2 linked regions of the Callithrix jacchus genome follow. The protein of the gene in region 1 purifies or fractionates together with the protein of each later gene. This does not show direct contact. Links are inferred from orthologs where the notes say so. Each region holds a gene or a part of one and is shown on either strand. Other genes may lie near its edges. The genes, in order: HEATR3 and TMEM186.

Evidence for each region.
Region 2: the proteins of HEATR3 (region 1) and TMEM186 purify together in Homo sapiens (co-immunoprecipitation; 3 studies listed by BioGRID and IntAct, counting the BioPlex papers as one, with this or other methods). This does not show direct contact. The link is inferred for Callithrix jacchus from reciprocal best matches to the Homo sapiens genes HEATR3 and TMEM186.

Annotation. Positions count from the first base shown.
Region 1 is NC_133521.1:7,861,854-7,866,428, forward strand, and holds the start of HEATR3 (HEAT repeat-containing protein 3), read left to right. Parts: upstream 1-1,564; 5' UTR 1,565-1,711; coding exon 1,712-1,849; coding exon of another isoform or gene 1,850-1,883; intron 1,884-1,950; coding exon 1,951-2,123; intron 2,124-4,162; exon of another isoform or gene 4,163-4,221; intron 4,222-4,338; exon of another isoform or gene 4,339-4,340; coding exon 4,341-4,428; intron 4,429-4,575. UniProt on the Homo sapiens protein: Plays a role in ribosome biogenesis and in nuclear import of the 60S ribosomal protein L5/large ribosomal subunit protein uL18 (RPL5). Required for proper erythrocyte maturation.
Region 2 is NC_133513.1:11,045,307-11,049,870, forward strand, and holds the start of TMEM186 (transmembrane protein 186), read right to left. Parts: upstream 3,055-4,564; 5' UTR 3,030-3,054; coding exon 3,027-3,029; intron 1,998-3,026; coding exon 1,356-1,997; 3' UTR 1-1,355. Other genes in the region: PMM2 (phosphomannomutase 2), read left to right, coding at 3,294-3,359. UniProt on the Homo sapiens protein: As part of the MCIA complex, required for efficient assembly of the mitochondrial complex I.

The sequences.
Region 1 (4,575 bases):
CTGGGCAACATGGTGAAACCCTGTCTCTACTAAAAATACAAAACTTAGCTGGGCATGGTGGCAGGCACCTGTAATTCCAGCTACTCAGGAGGCTGAGGCAAGAATATCGCTTGAACCCGAGAGGCGGAGGTTTCAGTGAGCTGAGATGGTGCCATTGCACTCCAGCCTGGGCAATAAGAGAGAGACTCCATCTCAAAAAACAAGACAAAACAAACAAATCGGTGGCCTAGACTAGGTAGGTGGCAGGCAAATCAATGGCCCGATAAGATATACAGTAAGTAAAACCCACCAACATATATTTAGTGGCTCCAAGGCAGAAGTTGCAGTAAGCCAAGATTGCACCATTGCACTCCAGCCTGGACAACAGAGCAAGACTCTATCTCAAAAAAAAGAAAAACGGAAAGTTGACCCAAAGCTATGGGTATACTGAGTACTCACTAATTACATGTGTAATTATAAAGACTACCTGAGATTCTTCTGTTCTTTTTCCTCTGCTTAGTATTTACCACAATTATAACCAAAGTTATTAATATAATTATATATTCAACAGATCTCTCCCTGGACGGTAAACTCCATAAGGACAGGAAGACAGGACAGAAACCAAACTGCCTTGATTATTGTTTTATTCCAATGCCCAGCGCTGTACCTAGTACTCAACAAATATTTGCAAAAGAATCTCTTTGTTAAACAAAAGTTTCCAAACATTTACATAGTGCTTATTATCTGCCGGTCTTTGTTCTTAGCACCTTAAATAGATTAACACATTTGGTCTTCATAACAACTCCATAAGGTATATGCTATTGATGTCCCTACCTCACCGATGAGGAACCTAAGGCAGGTAGATTAACTTCTTAAGCGATTCTGCTTTATCAAATATAGACATACATTCGTTCCAAAACATTAAGTGGTCTCGATCTATGACAGGAGCTATGGGAGGTGCTGGGGAGACAAAATCACGGTTAATACTTTTTTGTGTACCTACTATATGTCAGGCTTGGTGTCTGGCACTTCATAGAACTTTATGTGTACCTTACAATAACCTTGCAAGTCAGGTATCCTTTTTATAAAAAAAAAAATATTTTACTTTTCAAACATACATCCTCACTGAATGGTATCCTTAATTATATTTATTTATAGTGTGATTGATTGATTGATTGAGACAGGGTCTCACTCTGTCACCCAGGCTGGAGTGCAGTGGCAGGATCAAGGCTCACTGCAGCCTCAAACTCCTGGGCCCAAGTGATCCCCCTATTTCAACCTCCCAAGTAGTTGGGACTACACACACAAGCCACTATACTCAGCTAATTTTTAATTTTGGGGGGAGCGGGGCCGGAGGGCTGGAGTGTTTTCCTATGTTGCCGAGGATGGTCTCGAACTTCTGGCCTCAGGTGATACTCTCGCCTGAGTCAGCGTTACTATTCTAGTCCAGCCTCCTACTTCCTGATATTACCCACAAGACTCCGCCCCTTTGCCGAAGCTGGCCCCGCCCACATCCTCTTCCACGCTTGCGCGCTCCGCGCGCCTGCCTTCGCCCCGCTGTCGACGCGCCGCGCGCCTGCGCACTGGTTCCCCATGTGTTCTCCAGCCGTCAGCCGGCCCAGCTGAGCAGCAGTGGGAAAGTCCTTTGGCAACGGACCTTGTCACCAGCGCGGTAGCCTCCATCACCTGCTGCTGCCCTCCTCTCTCGGTGGTCCGCACAGTGCACGTCGCCATGGGCAAGAGCCGGACGAAGCGCTTCAAGCGACCTCAGTTCTCCCCTACGGGCGACTGTCAGGCCGATGCTGCTGCGGCGGTGAATGGGACCGGAGGCGAGGATGACGACGGGCCGGCGGTGGAACTGCTGGAAAAAGTGAGGCGGGGGCTTCGCAGAGCCGGGTGTCGAGGTGAGGCTGTCCCGCGCGCGTGCGCACTGCGCTCTGCGTGCCTTCTGATGGTTCTTGCTGTCCACAGCTCCAACACCCGAGCGCCGAGGTCCGCGAGTGCGCCTGCGCGGGACTGGCCCGGCTGGTGCAGCAGCGGCCCGCGCTCCCTGGCCTGGCGCGTCGAGACGCGGTGCGCCGCCTCGGGCCGCTGCTGCTGGACCCCAGCCTGGCGGTCAGAGAGACTGCAGCCGGCGCGCTGAGGTGAGCCGGGAAAGGGTCTGGGGCGGTGCCACCGCTAGTCTCCCACGCGCCTGGGCTCCAGGCAGTCGCAGCGGTCAGCCAGCGCTTTCTGTGTGAGAGGCACTGGTGCGATCTGTTTGCAGAGATTGAACCCACTCTCCAGGCTCCGGAGAACGCCAGTATCCCCGGACCACAGGCATCTCATCTGTCTGTCTACCTGGCTGCTTCATCTGCAGCGTCCACCTGCTCAGGCGTTCTGCCTTCACGCCTGGTGCACGTTTTACTGGTTCCAAAAGCCCTCCATAGGGTCCCTTGCTTGGATGAAATTTTCAGTTCATGTGTCAGAAATTGTTCTAGATGCAGGGGATTTTATGCAGCCAAGACTGTTGAGCGAGACAGCCAAGATCCCTGTCTTGGCACAAGTCGTGTTGATGGGGGGCAGACAGGAAGCTAGTAAAAAGGTAACACATGATGTTAAATAGTGAGAATTGCTGTGGGAAAACGAGATGATGAGTTGGGGGTGGAAGTTTGAATTGGGTGCTCTTGAGCCTGGCGTGGTAGCTCACACCTGTAATCCCATTGCTTTGGGAGGCCATGGAAGGAGGATCACTGGAGGCCAGGAGTCCAAGGCCAGCTTGGGCAACATAGCAAGACCCCGTCTGTAGAAAAATTTTTAAACAATTAGGCATGGTGGTGGGTGTCTGTAACCCCAGCTACTCAGGAGGCTAAGGTGGGAGAATTGCTTGAGCCCAGGAGTTTGAGGCTGCAGTAAGCCGTAATCACACCACTGCTCTCCAGCCTGGGTGACAGAGCAAGACCCTGTCTCTTTAAAAAAAAAAAAAGAAAGAAAAAAAAAGGTGCTTTTTAGATGACTTGTGAACTGAGATCTGCAGGGTGAGAGAGCTAGGAGACGTGGAAAAATAGGGGGAAGAGCATTACCCAAAAAGGGAACAGCAGCAGCAAAGAAGCGAAGCAGCAGGTGGTTTGGCATGATTGAAGAGCAGAGAGGGTAGGTGCCTGAGAAGAGCAGGGGTGAGTAATTAAAAAGGTGAGGCCTGAGAGAGGGATGATCTGTAGGATGGTGTAGGGCTGAGGACTTACTTACTCTAAGCCGGAAAGTGGCATATTATATATAACTCACCTTTTCAGAAGGCCACTGTGGTGGCTGTGCAGAGAATGGACTGCAGAGGGGGCAAGAGCAGAAGTTAATACTTGGCAGTTCTTACAGCTCTGTCTCTACTTGTGATTTATGTTTCATTCACTGATTTAGCCAATATGTGTCAAGTGCCTACTGTGTGCCAGTGAGCTAGGCTGTGGTCATGGGGTAATGGGCAAGGTAGTGTCTCTCTTTAAGAAATCTTAAAGTCTATTGAGGGAGACCGGCATTAACCAAACAATTAGATAACTGTATAATTGCAACGAATGGCAATGACAAAGGGTGCTGCAAGAGGGTACAAACCGGTTCAGGGAAGAAGACTCTTGAGTGAGTGATGCTTGAGGTCAGCTCTGAAGGATGAATGGGGGAAATAGATGCCCTACTTCCCCTAGGAAGGAAACAGCATGTGGAAAGCCCTTCCCTTCCTCCCACAGCATACACAGGCTAGGGGATCCTGGAGGATTGTGACTATCCATATCCTTAGGGCCTAATACAGTGCTGTGCACTGGGAAGGCTCATATCTTTCCAATTAGAATTTAGCCAGGGCTACTTTAGGAGGTGTCATTCACCTGAGCCCCACCTTGCTGCCCTTGCAGTTTGCTTTCTTTTTTTTTTTTTTTTTTGTAGAAATGGGGTCTTTCTATGTTGCCCAGGCGGGTCTTGAACTCCAGAGCTTGAGTGATCCTCCACCTCAGCCTCCCAAAGTGCTGGGATTACAGGTGTGAGCCACAGCACCTATCCCTGCCCTTGTAGTCTTAATTTCAAGAACAGATCCCTTCGTACATGATTTATTCATGTGGGAAAAGTCTCCCTTCTCCCCTTCTTGTAGCTATGTACCTGTATACTGTCTCAGACCTCAGAACTAAGTTGTTATATGACAGAGTCATCTGTTTACATCTTGTAGAACAAGGATCAGAACAGGTGGAAATCTCTGGATTGGTTCAGCAGCATATGACAGAAACAGTAAGCTCTTTCCTCTGGGAAAACTTAAATATGGCTAAAAATAGATATAATTTGAGAGTGTAGAAGTGTTTTGTGACATGTGATGTGAAAGTAAAACATGTTTTAAACTTCTTGTGTAGAAATCTCAGTGCTTGTGGAGGTTTTGAAGTTTGTGATGACATGGTGACTAAGGATATCATGACCCCTCTGGTCGCGCTGCTAAAAGAGGTATGCAGTTTTTACAGTAACTCGATGGTAGCTTTTGGGATGCAAACTTAGACTTTTTTTAGTACTTTGACGTTAGTGACTTTGTCTTCTACCTAAACATTGTATGGAAATTTAATTCCTTTTCCTGGAAACACCGATCTACTCTCA
Region 2 (4,564 bases), on another chromosome or scaffold:
GGCAGAGGTTGTGGTAAGCCAAGATCTTGCCATTGCACTCCAGCCTGGGCAACAATAACGAAACTCCTTCTCAAAATAACAAAAAAGATATATTTGTTAGGTGTATCTTGCTATGGTTAAGAAAAATGAAAGGCTATACAATAAAATATTGTTACTGACTTTTGAGTGGCGAAATCATAAAGGTCGCGCCTTCCTTCCTCTTGACTGTGTTACGGATTGTATAATGAACATATTATTAATTATGCAGAGCAGTGTATATAACTGGCTTTAGTTTATAAAACAGTGTACCAGCATACGTCCATCTGGCTTTATTACACTGCAGGGCCATCCAAAGCAAGAGTCTCTAGACCTCTGGGTGGGGTTTTGTGCTCACCTGGATGACATCTCTGCTCATTGATGTGTAGTTAACAGTCCCTTCTGGTAGTCCCTTCTGCCGCTGGACATGTGAGGGGGCACAGCACAGAGTTCTGGATGTCGCTAGTGACTGCTCAAAGTCTTTCTCCATGCTGAAACCTCTATACAAATGCTTAATATCTGCTCTGGGCTGTTGAGTCCGCAAAAATTTTGACATTTATTGTTTATTCCCACACCCATCCCATGCAACAAGAAGACTTTCCATTTTATAGATGGAGGTTCAAAGAGGCTCAATAACCTCTTTGCCAGGACAAGTAACAGAACTGAGACTTCTGGCTCCAAATTCTACACTCCCCTGCCACACCTCTTTGCCTTCCCATTTCACAGCAATGGACTGTCTGGGTGACCTTGGCATAGGTTCCTTTAATAACTGGCTCCTAACAGAAACCTCCAGCCATTATCTGACTGAATGTCACACACAAGTGCTATCAGAACTTGCACTTAGCCGGGTGCGGTGGCTTACACCTGTAATCCCTGCACTTTGGGAGGCCGAGGCAGATGGATCAAGAGGTCAGGAATTTGAGACCAGCCTGGCCAACATAATGAAACCCCGTCTCTACTAAAAATACCAAAAAAGTTAGCCAGGTGTGGTGGCGAGCACCTGTAGTCCCAGCTACTCGGGAGGCTGAGGTGGGAGAAGCGCTTGAACCTGGAAGGCGGAGACTGAATAAGCTGAGTTCACACCACTCCAGCTTGGGGAAAAGAACGAACTCCATCTCAAAAAATGAAAAGAAAAAAAAAGAACTTGCATTTAGAGCCTTTTTCCTAAACCTGGACACCAAATCTCACCTTGTAAATTTCTACATCACAAAACACATGTTCCCAGGGGCCCAGGAAAGTCTCCAAGTACTCAATCCCCTTTCTTCAATCTTGCGCACACCCTCGGCCTTCCTGTCAATCCAGGCAACCCAGAATTACCCAGAGGTCCAGCTCCCAGTTGTTTACTTGAATATCTGCAGCGCCCCAAACACCTGTGTGAAACACTCTTTGTCCAGGATGCGTCCGTGGCGTAGGGTAAGGTAGAAGGTCTGTTTCCCACTGTACTGCTGGATACGCATGAACAGCTCCTCAGGGCAGTCCTTGGTTTCTGTCAGGGGTATCACATCTTCCACGGGACAGTATGTGTCCTGCCGCCAGCCCCAGAAGTTCAGGTGGGCCACCCGCAGTATGGTGCCAGACTCGTTCAGATACAGGATGCCAACCAGTCTCCGAAGGAAATAGCTCATCCAGCAGAGCATGGCCAGAGCAAAGCATGACACCCCATTCATGATGCAAAGGGACTTGAGAGTCAGGAGGCCCTGGGAGTACCAGTAATAGCCTGGTGGCAAAGCTATCACTGTCAGGGCAGTCTGTGCCAACTTCAGTCGAGACAGGTACCCGAAGGATCTGATGGCATCAAAACGGTAAAACATCCGGAATTTCTCAGTCTCTGTGTCTGGTGGTTTCTCCTTTGAGGTGGGTGACGTGCTCCCCAGCCACCTCTTAGGATCCTCCTGCCCACTGCAGCACCACCACAGCCCATGGAGAGGCCGTCCCCATGCAGTTTTTCCTGGAAACCTAGGCACAGCTCGGAGAAGGGCAGCCTGAAAGGGAGATAGTAGACCATTTCTCTTATGGAACTCAACCACATTAATCACACGGTAAACATCTGCAAAGCATCTCACTCCAAGGCTTTTGCCAATCCTGCAAGGTCACCATTATTGCCAGAGAAGGAAAGGGTAAAGCCAGATGCTACCTCATGTGAGCAACACAACAGCTACCTAAGATAGGTATCCCTATTTCCACTTTACCACTAGGGAAACTAAGCCCAGAGAGGGTAAGATGTTTACCCAAACATAGTCAGTGAGTGCAGCAGAGTCCGACTCTCAAACCGGGCCTCTTTTCACCAGGCAATTCCAAATAAATATAGGAAAAGAGGTACAGCCTTCATTAACTCACAACCTATCTAGGCAGGACCAACTCTGGGCTGGACAATGGATCCAAAAGGGGTTGTGAACATTTCCCCAAGCAGGATACTAAATAATCAGTGTCTTAGTGGGGAACTTGAGCAACAAATCTGTGAAATATTTATCCCAATAACTTTCCAATTCTGTTTGATTTATATGTCATCTTGGGTGCTAGAGGAAACTGCTGCTTTCTTAGCCTAGTCTGGGGAAGCAGAAATAGCAGAGGAGGAGGAGAGAAGCAGGAAGGCCCCAACACATAGCACAAGGATATTATTAGGTGAGTAACGAGGCAGTAAAAGTTCTGGTTCCGGTTCTGGCTCCAACAGTCACTGCCTGTGGATTCTTGAGCAAATTACTTCCTTCACACCCCTGAGCTTCCGTTTCTTCACCTTTCAAAATGGGGACTCAGAACACAGTGAACCAGAAGATGGTTTAGAGCCCTCAACTTAGTACCTGATGCACTGTGAGAGCCTGGCCAGTTTTAGCGAGTACTACTGCTGCGCACGTGACCCAAGGAGGTCAGAGAAAGCCGGGGGAATGGCGAACTGTAACCCACGCTGAAGCCTCCTACTAGGGATTCTCCGAGTCCGACAGTAGGGCGTCTTGTCTGCCTGCCCCAGCTCTGACCCCGATCCCCAAAACAAGGCTCGTCACCCGCCTCCTTACCATTGTCCCACCGCCTGCTGCCGGAAGTAAATGCCACCGGTCCCCGGAACCTCTAAGAGGGCATGCTCGAACGTACAAGGCGGGCGTGACCGCGTTGCACTCTGGGAGTTGCGGTCCAGGAATCGTGGCTGGCGCTAGTCCCAGGCATTGTGGGAACAGAGTCTCCTCTTCCCGACGTGCCCTGCAGCTCGGGGGCCGAACCCGGAAGTTCCGGGCTGAGCTCCTGGTGCCAACGAGTCTCGTCAGGAGCAGCTAGAAACTGGGGATATGGCAGGTCCCGGCCCAGCGCTCTGCCTCTTCGACGTGGATGGGACCCTCACCGCTCCGCGGCAGGTAAGTGGCGGTAGCAGCCGAGACGGAGCCCGTGCTGTTCCCAGTTGAAGTTATCGACCACCCAGGGTGGGCGCCAAGGGGTAGCTGAGGACCGCAGAAGTGTTCATGGGGGCTGAACCCTACTCGGGGTGTCCTGGAGGAATGAGAGTGAAGCTCTGACCAGCTCTTCAAGAGCTCTTGGTGCTTGGAGAGATGAGACGGGGCTGAAGAACTCCTAAGAGCAAGAAACTTGTGCTGGGTCGGAAAATGCAATCTGGATTCACGGCTGGTCCTCGGGACTGTTGGACCAGGATTTGTACCCGAGATCAAGCCCCCTTTTCAGCTATGTTACAGACATTCTCAGTCCTGTAACCAATGAGCTGTGCCGTGAATAATATTTTTAAAAGGTTTCCAGGTCAAACCGACCTAGTGGAGTCTCGTCTTCACCTCTTGACAGCTGTGTGACCTTGAGCAAGTCATTAATGTCTCTGAGCTTCAGCATCTACAGCTTTTTTTTTTTTTTTTATAGGAGTTTTCGCTTTTGTCTCCCAGGCTAGAGTGCAATGGGGCGACCTCGGCTCACTGCTGTAACCTCCGCCTCACAGGTTCAAGCAATTCTCCTGCCTCAGCCTCCGAAGTAGCTGGAATTACACGCACCTACCGCCACGCCCGGGTCCTACCTCAGCCTCCCAAGTAGCTGGGATTACAGGCACCTGCCGCCACGCCCGGGTCCTGCCTCAGCTTCCCAAGTAGCTGGGATTACAGGCACCTGCCACCACGCCATGCTAATTTTTATATTTTTAGTAGAGACAGGGTTTCACCATGTGGACCAGACTGGTCTCAAATTCCTGACCTCAGGTGATCACTCGCGTCAGCCTCCCAAAGTGCTGGGATTACAGGCATGAGCCACCACGCCTGACCTCATCTTCAGCTTTAAATGGGGATATTACCCCCTGTGCCATATGGTGTCTGTGAGGTTCAGATGAGATTACATAAATTCTTGAAATTATATTGCACATAACACACTAGGCTTCAATAAACAGCCACCTCCACCGCACCCATCTCCAGCCCCTGCAGTGGACTCGGGAAATGGAGGACCCCTAGGTTATTAAAGGCTGCCTGCTGAGACCCACTTTAGGGCCTTGGAAACGTGCTTTCCACTTCCAGATATTGCTGCTGCAGGCACAGATAAGTTTCAGTTACAATCACCCTTGAGATGAGGCTCT